Linked DNA regions of Arabidopsis thaliana. The protein of the gene in region 1 interacts with the protein of each later gene in a biochemical or structural test. Each region holds a gene or a part of one and is shown on either strand. Other genes may lie near its edges.

Evidence for each region. The genes of interacting proteins can lie anywhere in the genome.
Region 2: of the proteins of CDG1 (region 1) and BSL2, one has a biochemical effect on the other in vitro, tested with the Arabidopsis thaliana proteins (one study listed by BioGRID).

Annotation. Positions count from the first base shown.
Region 1 is NC_003074.8:9,935,559-9,940,904, forward strand, and holds CDG1 (Protein kinase superfamily protein), read right to left. Parts: upstream 3,748-5,346; 5' UTR 3,379-3,747; coding exon 3,282-3,378; intron 2,969-3,281; coding exon 2,775-2,968; intron 2,674-2,774; coding exon 2,484-2,673; intron 2,399-2,483; coding exon 1,998-2,398; intron 1,566-1,997; coding exon 1,149-1,565; 3' UTR 1,024-1,148; downstream 1-1,023. UniProt on the Arabidopsis thaliana protein: Serine/threonine-protein kinase involved in the positive regulation of brassinosteroid (BR) signaling and plant growth. Mediates BR signal transduction from BRI1 receptor kinase to BSU1 phosphatase.
Region 2 is NC_003070.9:2,647,377-2,652,730, forward strand, and holds the start of BSL2 (BRI1 suppressor 1 (BSU1)-like 2), read left to right. Parts: upstream 1-2,082; 5' UTR 2,083-2,582; coding exon 2,583-3,051; intron 3,052-3,590; coding exon 3,591-3,651; intron 3,652-3,765; coding exon 3,766-3,844; intron 3,845-3,955; coding exon 3,956-4,035; intron 4,036-4,118; coding exon 4,119-4,213; intron 4,214-4,312; coding exon 4,313-4,412; intron 4,413-4,489; coding exon 4,490-4,559; intron 4,560-5,106; coding exon 5,107-5,208; intron 5,209-5,284; coding exon 5,285-5,354. Other genes in the region: AT1G08410 (P-loop containing nucleoside triphosphate hydrolases superfamily protein), read left to right, coding at 107-200, 305-361, 445-524, 608-1,730. UniProt on the Arabidopsis thaliana protein: Phosphatase involved in elongation process, probably by acting as a regulator of brassinolide signaling.

The sequences.
Region 1 (5,346 bases):
TTTTTTTAGTTTATCTTTCTTATTTTGACAGAAGCTGACGTGTCTTTATTTCATTGGTTTGTCACTTAGTAACCGCGGTCAAAAATTTTGTTTCTTAATAGTGATTATCTTTTGAAATCTCGAGGAGAAAAAGGTCGAAAGAAAAATATGATGACAGGCAACATATGGGTTATGATGATGGACTCAACCTTCTCTAAAACAAAAATATTCTTTTGAGCCTTGAAAATCTGAATTCACACAAGTGGGCCTAACTATATAAATATGTTCATTCAACTTTTAAATACATTTTTCATAACACAAAAAAGTTTACGTGTACAACAATTCCGATGTAAAAATCACAAAGTGGTTGTAGAACGCTTCTGGTTCCAATAAGGATGGTAGATATGTTATAATGCTATCTGACTAAAGTTTCAAGTTTGCAGAATGTTAAGCGTTATATGAATATGATCCATATGAATCCAGTGGCAGCGTTATATGGATGTTGGGGAGTCATGATACCGGTGTTGGAGGCTGTGAAGAAGGAATATCTATATGGAAAACAAGTCGCTATATAAACAATCATGTTTTCTACAACTAAAAAAAATTTGTATGATTTGCGATGTAACAGATGGATCGCAACTAATAATTTTTGAAGAACTTATTGTAGTTTCATCAAAAAGGCGATAGTAAAAAAAAGAAGATCAAAGATGAAAACGAATAAAAAAAGTAACAGAATTATTTCTCTGGTAGCATATAAGTCCTACCTATCGAAAGAAGCAACGTGCGATTTTACTTTTTCGATTATTTTGTTTTACCTAAATATTGGTTGTATGTGTATGTTTATTGATAACCATGTAATTTTTGATTCAATATAATAAAATTAAATATTAAAAAAAATGAAATGAAAAAGTTTACGTCCAAAATATTAATTTTTTTGTTATGAAACAAAATCTTAATCGAATTAAATAAACCGAAGTTATTGAAGCAGATGAAATTTGTAAGAAATCAATTTGATGTTAGTACATATATAAAAACAAACATAAATCTAGTATTAACTAAATTGCCATGTTTAAATGTTTTAACAAAATTTGGTTTCTAACAATAGTCTCACCAAACAAACTTAACCAAATATAACTTGAAAAACAAGTTAATAAAAATTTACTTCACTTTCATGGAGTCGGAGTTGGTGGCGTAGCCCCTCTCCTATTCATACCGGCCCAAGTACGAGCATCATCCACGATTACCCTCCTTCTCTCAATAGCTTCTTCACTAGTTACGTATTCTTCTTCTTCTTCTAACATCCTCATCATTGTCTCATCCGGTGACCTCGATGTCCCCGCCCCATCCTTATTTCCTCCTAGTAGTCTACGCCTAGTTCTCCTTTCCTTCCTAATTGTGTGATCAATGATATACTTAAGACACTCCACGACTTGGCTGATCGATGGTCTAGCGTTTGCTTCTTCTGCTAGGCACAGAAAGGCCACTTCAATACCTCTATAAAGAAGTATATTCGAAAAACCGCCTTTTCTTGCTAACCTTGGATCTACAATCTGCCTTATTCTGCCATTCAAGAACAACGGTCGTGCCTGTTAAGAAAAAAAAAAAGAAACACATGAACATGTCGTCATCAAAATCGGAACATTCATTAGTCTAATACGTATCCACACATCATTAAGGGCCATAACACGAAACTCTTTTTCATCAGCATAACCAAAATCAAAACCTATATATGGTTAAAGGTCAATAGTAAAACCACTACCATTTTTACGAAAAATCAAAATTGATAGCATATGGTTTAATGGTTAATTGATTAATCTAAACCCTAAACCCTAAATCGTAAACGGTATAATTATGCAAAATCGACCAAAAGGTCACCATCAAAACAATTTTTCTCTTAAGCAAAATTGGAATTTAGATAGATATAATCTGGTTATATAGTCTAAAAGAAGCAAAGCCTATAAATGGTCATAAGGAAAAAACTAATCCATCCTTAAGCAAAATAAGGTTGAGAGGATTACCCAATGCACAAGATAGCGACTTTGATTACCAACGCATTCGGATGAGGGCATAAGAGCTTTGCGTCCACTGATAAGCTCCAGCAGCACAACTCCAAAGCTATAAATATCAGATTTCAGCGTCAACTTCCCGGTGTTCGCGTACTCTGGTGCACAATACCCATGAGTTCCCATAACTCTAGTAGAGACATGAGACATATCATCACTTGGACCAAACTTTGCAAGTCCAAAATCTGAGAGCTTAGGTTTATAGTCATGATCCAACAATATGTTTGAAGTTTTCAAATCTCTGTATATCACAGGAGGTTGTGCTTCGTTGTGAAGAAACGCTAACCCTTTAGCCGCTCCTAGAGCTATCTTCATCCTTGTCTTCCAATCTAAAGCCTCTTGACCCTCGCTAAGATCTGACAAAACAACACAAGAATTTAAAAAACTTTAATGAATCTCGTTCTTGAAAATTTCTTGGTTTGAGTGTAGTTTTTTTTTTACCGTAGAGATGATCTTCTACAGATCCAAGAGGCATGTATTCATAGACAACGAGTCTTTGATCGCCTTCAGCACAATAACCGAACAAATGCACTAGGTTTCGGTGGTGCAAGAGCGAGAGCATTAGGACTTCCACAAGAAACTCTTTGTCTCCTTGAATACCAGACTGATCAAGCATTTTAACAGCTATGTTCTTGAATTAAGACCAACAACAAAGCACAATGACAAACAGTTAGAGATTTCACAACGACAAGATTATTGATTTGATTAGTCCAAATGTTAATAATAGATTACCTGTCCAGTGCTTAGCCTTCCTTTATACACAGTTCCAAATCCACCTCTTCCGATCAAAGATTCATTCCTGAAGCTGTTAGTCGCGATGGCGAGTTCTCTGTATGAGAAAATCTGACATCTGTATCTAGAAGAATCTTGCACTACGGTTTGTGAACTTGACGAATCTACTTCTTTTGCTGTTCCAGCTGGTTGGGCTACAGAGGAACAAAACAACACAATGAGAGACTATATCACATATGTTATTGGATCACAAGTAGATTAAAAAGACATTTATCAGCCAAATACACAAATCTTTGAACTATAAAACACAAACCCTAAGCCGGGATTTGTACGATCCGTATAAACTAATCACAAGACAAATACTATATGTATCATTAATAAATAAGCTATTTAAAAGAAAAGGGAGATTTTATCATGATTTACTACTAATGACTGGTATTAAAGATGACTAATCTCAAGATTAATCTATAAATAATAATAAAAAGATCAAAGGGAAGTGAGAGGAACCAGAAGAGGAGGATGTCTGGTTACGTATGGATCTCTTATGAGATTTGTCTTTGAGCTTCGTTTTCCGACTGGGACGAAAACACAAGCAACTAACCATGTTTTCTTTTAATCAATCTCAAGGAAAATAATCTTTTTGTTGTTGGTGTCACTCAATAAACAAAGATATACACACACATACACTCTCTATATGGTTTATCAATAGGGCTCAAGAGATGATCACACACGAGGACAAAGAACTAACGGTTTTGTTATCAAAAAGATGAAAACTTTGAAGGAATCAGACGAACCCCAAGAAACACACGATCAACAGAGATTCGAGTTTTGGGAATAATTTTCCATCAAAAATTGATTACAAAAAAACACGAGAAATTTGTGAGGTGATAAGGAAGGAGATTTAGATTAAAATCGAGAGTTTTCGTAAAATTTTGGGGGATTTAGATAAGATTTGGTTGAAGGGGTTTTGATAGGAAGGAAAGACACGTAATCAACAAAAGAGAGCATGGGGGTGCAATATATATGGTACGTTACTCACCAATTGCTTCTATGAGATAAAATCATTTATTGTTTTATTATGCCATTGAGGGTAATAATCTACAATGTTAATTGTTTTATAGTAAGTTTCTCCTTTATATCCCTGGAATTTATAATTGTGATAAATGTTGGATTCTGAATTTAAACTAATTTTTAAGACAAAAATTAGAAAATAATCCTCACGTTAAGTATTTCTAAATTCTAATAGTGATATATTAGATGATAACTATGTTTGTTATGCATTCAAAAAAGGCCCAAAACTATAGACGTAACGACAAAAAAATTATCAACGTTTTTGAAATTCATTGAAGAATTTTTTTTGTTGGTTGGTTTTGGTGCAAAATAATTTTTAAGTGTATTGCAAAAACCGCAGAGAATAACAAAATTTTGATAAACAAATTCATGTAACGTGAGCTACAAGTATTAAAGATTCCCAGTCTAAAACTCAATAATTTTTAACAGACGATGAAAACGGCAAGATGCTTTTCCCTATGTTTAACCTCAAAATTAAAAGGAACGCTGATAATGGTAAAATTTAGGCCAATATATCCATGCAATGTAAGTTAAAAGATTTTATCAAAGATTCTCTGTCTGAGACATAAGACAGTTCCGAACCAAATTTGGAAACACATTCAACTTCTATTTCACATTATTCAATATACGATAATGATAATTATCGGAACTTTTTTTTTATGGTTTCTATGGATTTTATGACTCCATTCTTATCATTTTGTGCATAAAAGTCTAGTAATTAACAAAACTAAAGAAAGAGGAGAGGGAAACAGTATTAACAAGTATTAATTATACGAACGTATACACATTTGATTCTTGGTTGTGTTCTTCTCTAGCTCCACTATGAGGTTCAAATTCAAAAGTTGTTTTTGATTTAGCCAAGACTTTAAAGAAGCCTTGGCCGAGATTTTATGACGACAGATAACGGTCAATAATGATGGTTAACGTTGTTGATCGGTTTTTACGATCGGTTAAGGTTCTGACATTAGTACAATATGTAATGTAAATCATGTGATGTGAGTCATGGAGCCATACCACTCTTAAAATTTGGAGATTGTATGGTAGTACGTAGAATAAAAAGTATGGTAGACAGTACATGATTATGAATGAATCATGACGTTCTCAAATCTTTTTGTAATCAGATTTTATTTCCATCACAATTATTTATTTTTAGTCATTACAAAAGTTTACACCAAAATAGCAATTGTTACCTTTAAAATGCATATTTTACAAGAACTACTTACATAATTAGTTTTGTCCATCTTAAACTAGCTCTCACCTATACCTGAACCTACTTGCAATGTTAGTAGCAAATTTCTAACGACGAGAATAATAATAATGAAATTAACAATCTGCAAGTGGTAGTAAATTGAAGTTTCACTAACCGAGAATCAATTTTTGTATTAGGAAAAGTTTGATTCCACGAGATGATGTTCCATCTTTAATGTCTGACACCAGCTTTATTCCTCTCTTAATCTTACTTTGTTTCTAATAAACACCAGAAGTCTTCTCTTACTTATAG
Region 2 (5,354 bases), on another chromosome or scaffold:
ATAAACCAAACTAGAGTTTATAGATGTTTGACCCTAATCAATCTTTTGGATTGGGAAGTTTATAGGTGTTACGCATGCTTACATGTTCTCCTGTATTTTGGTTTAGCCTTGAGGAAAATGAAAAGCTAGTGTTGACTCCATTCGAAAAGAACCTTGACATCTGGAGACAGCTTTGGAGAGTGCTTGAACGCAGTGATTTGGTAAGTCTTTGTCAATAATGTATTAACCTTCTCAATAAGTTCAATTTCTGCGTTTTAGTTAATTGCAAAACAGTTTTGATTACTTATACTTGTCCTTTTTTCAGATTGTTATGGTAGTTGATGCTAGAGATCCACTGTTTTACCGCTGCCCTGATCTTGAGGTAATGCATTTTCTCCCAGCTTGAAACTCCACTTGGCACCGTATTCCTGATTCATATTTACTTGAAGATTCATCGTGACACAGGCATATGCTCAAGAAATTGATGAGCATAAAAAAATAATGCTTCTAGTGAACAAGGCGGATCTTTTACCTACTGATGTCAGGTTAGCCAATCCTCTTGTGCCTTAATACTTTGCCTCCAACCTTTTTTGTATTCTAACCGATTGGTTTAACTTTTGACTTGTAGGGAGAAATGGGCAGAATATTTCCGCCTTAACAACATTCTGTTTGTTTTCTGGTCAGCCATAGCTGCTACAGCTACCCTAGAAGGTAAAGTCTTGAAAGAGCAATGGAGACAACCCGATAACTTGCAGAAGACAGATGATCCAGACATTATGATATATGGCAGAGACGAGCTGTTGAGTCGTTTGCAATTTGAGGCTCAAGAGATTGTCAAAGTAAGGAATTCTAGAGCAGCATCCGTATCATCACAGTCATGGACTGGTGAATATCAACGTGATCAAGCCGTGGTTGGATTTGTTGGGTACCCAAATGTTGGAAAGAGTTCTACAATCAATGCATTGGTGGGTCAGAAGCGAACAGGTGTCACCTCTACCCCAGGAAAAACAAAGCATTTCCAGACTTTGATCATCTCTGATGAGCTTATGCTATGCGATTGCCCTGGTTTAGTCTTCCCTTCGTTCTCAAGCTCAAGATATGAAATGATTGCTTCTGGTGTACTTCCGATTGACCGGATGACGGAGCACCGTGAAGCTATTCAGGTGGTGGCTGACAAGGTCCCTCGCCGTGTAATTGAGAGTGTGTACAACATTTCTCTTCCTAAACCCAAAACCTATGAGCGTCAGTCCCGCCCGCCTCATGCTGCAGAGCTCTTAAAAAGTTACTGTGCTTCTCGTGGCTATGTTGCCTCGAGTGGACTACCGGATGAAACGAAAGCTGCAAGGCTGATTCTGAAAGATTACATTGGAGGTAAGCTGCCACATTATGCAATGCCACCTGGAATGCCCCAAGCTGATGAACCGGACATAGAAGACACTCAAGAACTGGAGGATATTCTCGAAGGTTCAGAGTCCGATGACTCTGCAGTAGGAGATGAGACAGAAAACGAGCAAGTTCCTGGTATTGATGATGTGCTAGATGATCTGAGCTCGTTTGATCTTGCCAATGGGCTTAAGTCTTCAAAGAAAGTGACAGCAAAGAAGCAAACCGCGTCACATAAACAGCACAAAAAGCCACAGAGGAAAAAGGATCGGACTTGGAGGGTTCAAAACACAGAAGATGGAGATGGAATGCCTTCTGTTAAAGTTTTCCAGAAACCAGCTAACACAGGTCCTCTTACGATGCGGTGATTATCAAATTGTAGTCCATCCAAGCAAAGATGGCAACCGAAGCTACTTAAAGTTTTTTTTTTTTTTTCAAAAAATGTAACAGCAGTTGAACCTGTCGCAGTAGTTCTCGAGTGTCTTGATGTTTTTGTTTTTATGATTAAAGTCTTATTTTGGGGAAAAGTAGAAAAAAGTGACAACTCAAATCTGGTGGAAAATGGAGAATTGTTTTTGCCAGTTGGAGATACCTATCGCTTTGTTTTGAGAATATAATAGCCATAAATAGAGTTTTCATGTAACTTTAAACTTTTTTCTTATTTGGGGTTTGGACTCTTTTGAACAATAAATAGTGATAATGAAACTTTAAAGTTTAAACATTTCAATAACCAATTCTTGTTGCTAAATATGTCATTACCAAATCGATATAAAACCAAAGTAAATAGAAATGTTATAGTGATTTCGGTTCGTACGTTTGGCAATGAGTTGGTTCGTGTCTCTCGTTCCATTGGCGTCCTTGAGGGTTAAGACTGATTAGGCTTTGTTGTACTTATGGAGAGAGGAGAGAGAAACTTGAGATAAACAAAAAAAAAAAATTGGTTTTTCCTAAATGTGTGAATGTCTGCTTGCTGCATCGTTTTATTAATTTCCCTGGAAAATAACTGTTTCTGTTTGTTGTAAACAAGCCTCGAGGATCTGACCGGTGAATGAAAGAAAACTAGGGTTTCGATTTTACCGGAATATTCTCCGAGAGAGCGGCAAGTTTAACATCAGATATGTTGTTGATCACAGATTCGCTTTTCTGCGAATTTTAGCTGGATCGGTCTTTCTTTAGTTAGTTTTTTTTTTTTGTTTTCCCACTTTTGAAGCTTTTTGATAATGGATGAAGATTCGTCTATGGTGGCTGACAACGATCAGGATCGTGAGTTTCAGAGCCTTGATGGAGGCCAATCTCCTTCGCCTATGGAAAGAGAAACGCCTCAGCAGATGAACGACCAATCACCTCCTCCTGAAGGCGGATCGGTGCCTACGCCGCCGCCTTCGGATCCTAATCCGGCAACTTCTCAGCAGCAAGCGGCTGCGGTTGTTGGACAAGAGCAGCAGCCGGCGCTAGTTGTTGGTCCGAGGTGTGCACCTACGTATTCGGTGGTGGATGCTATGATGGATAAAAAAGAGGATGGGCCTGGCCCTAGGTGTGGTCACACCTTGACGGCTGTGCCTGCTGTTGGTGATGAAGGAACGCCTGGTTATATTGGTCCTCGTCTTGTATTGTTTGGTGGTGCGACGGCTCTTGAGGGAAATTCTGGTGGCACCGGAACTCCTACTTCAGCTGGAAGTGCCGGCATTCGTACGTTTTCCTTCTCTGCTTGTTAAATAGTTTTAAGTATCACCGCTCTACATTTTCCTTCTCCTTTGCCTAACTATTGTGAAGTTGTAGTTTGCCTTCCTTGCTTTGAAGGTTCTCTCCTGAACGATTGAAAAAGTTAACTCTTTTCTTATGGCTTAATTATTCTGATAGAGGGCCCTTGCCAAGCCTTGAACTTTTAAAGATTTACCTATTTCAAAGATATACGCTGGTTATTTGCTTGCAATCTTGTGAGATCGTCTAAGTTTGGAAACTTTAGTTCTGAAAGCTTCACATCTGTTAAATTTAACTGGCAATCTGAGGTGGCAGTGTTTCCTCAACATTTATTGCATCCTATTTCATTTGGAATCGGTAGAGCAAAGAGCTTGATGTAGTACCAGGGCACAGTATTGGCTGTGGAATGTTAGATCACTAATTCCGTTTATTTGCTGATAGATTCTATGTTCTAGTTCTTGTTATTTCTTAAGGTTCCTAGATTTATCTGGTTGTATTAATTAATTTGGGTGTTCTTTTCTCTGCAGGGCTAGCTGGGGCAACTGCTGATGTTCATTGTTATGATGTACTTTCTAATAAGTGGACTAGGTGAGCATTAAATGTGAATGTCTTTGGGTTTTCACGCTAATTATGAAAAATGCATGAGATCCTACCCCGTTTAAAAGTGTGGATACCAGTTAATTAAATGAATTGAGGCTACAGGCTTACACCTTTTGGAGAACCACCAACCCCGAGGGCCGCACATGTTGCAACTGCAGTCGGGACCATGGTAGTTATTCAGGTAGGGGAGAAATGATGTTTTTATATTATGTGTATGATTTAAGTTTATCAATGTAAGATGAGCATTTCCAGTCAGCTATGAAAGTGCTTATAAATTCTTTCTGTTGTACAGGGTGGAATTGGTCCTGCTGGTTTATCGGCTGAAGACCTTCATGTTCTTGATCTCACTCAACAACGGCCACGATGGCACAGGTTTGAAAATATGCCTGCCACTATCTCGGTTGAAAATTCATTTTACTAGTTCGTGTCTTGATATTGATTATGTCTCTATCCAGGGTTGTTGTTCAGGGTCCTGGACCAGGACCTCGTTATGGACATGTCATGGCACTCGTGGGGCAAAGGTATCTCATGGCAATTGGTGGAAATGATGGTAAGCAGTTTTCCATATTGGCTTATTCTCAGTGTTTTATGTAAGGGTATCATATTCTCATTAAAGCTTCACCCTTCTGAACTCCATTCGAACTACTAGGAAAACGTCCACTTGCTGATGTATGGGCCTTGGATACTGCCGCCAAGCCTTATGAATGGCGTAAGTTGGAACCAGAAGGGGAAGGTCCACCTCCCTGCATGTAAGTTTGATTAGACTCCTTTATGATTGTGAGCTTTCTGGAGTAATTGTTTATATCTGTTTGTACGTTGTAACTAGGTATGCAACTGCAAGTGCGCGCTCCGATGGTCTTCTTCTCCTCTGTGGTGGAAGGGATGCAAACAGTGTGGTAAGTGAAGAGATTTATTACAGTCATACCCAATTATCTCTTTGAAACAAACACTGAGCCACTTATAGAGGCATGATTCTATTTTGGCTTTTGCTTTTAGTGTGAGATAAAAATGGGACCGTGAGATTTAGTCAATTAATTTATAGAGGTTGAGTTTTGTCACTGAGCAAATTGAAAAGTATTTTATTTCCCCAGCTACAAATTTATTAATGGTCCAATGAACGATCTTCATTCTATGTTCCAGAGCAGATGGAGATGTAACTCTTCTCTGCTAGGTAAATTAATCAAGAGTTTGTGTGTGTTTCAACACAGACTCTGAAGAAGTAACAAACATAAATTGTGTGCAAGACCTCGTGAAGCTTCTACGAGAAAAGGAACTATAATTTCTTTTGTCAACAAGGAATGAGCTTATTATCAATTATGTGTTTATACATGATCATGAGAAGTTGTCAATTCTGCGTAAAGTGAAATATGAAACTTAATGGACTGCTTTAATCTTGAATGGTTGATTGAGGAGCTTAATTTTTTTCTACGTTTGAATTGATAGCCTCTGGCCAGTGCATATGGACTTGCGAAGCACAGAGATGGACGTTGGGAATGGGCCATAGCCCCTGGTGTCTCACCATCTTCCAGATATCAGCATGCAGCAGTATGGATGCTTCTTCCTCTTTGGTTCTCTTTTCTGTCCTCATCAGAATTATTAAATTCTTTGGTTAATTATTTAGGTCTTTGTAAATGCAAGACTTCATGTGTCCGGTGGGGCACTTGGTGGTGGACGCATGGTTGAAGACTCAT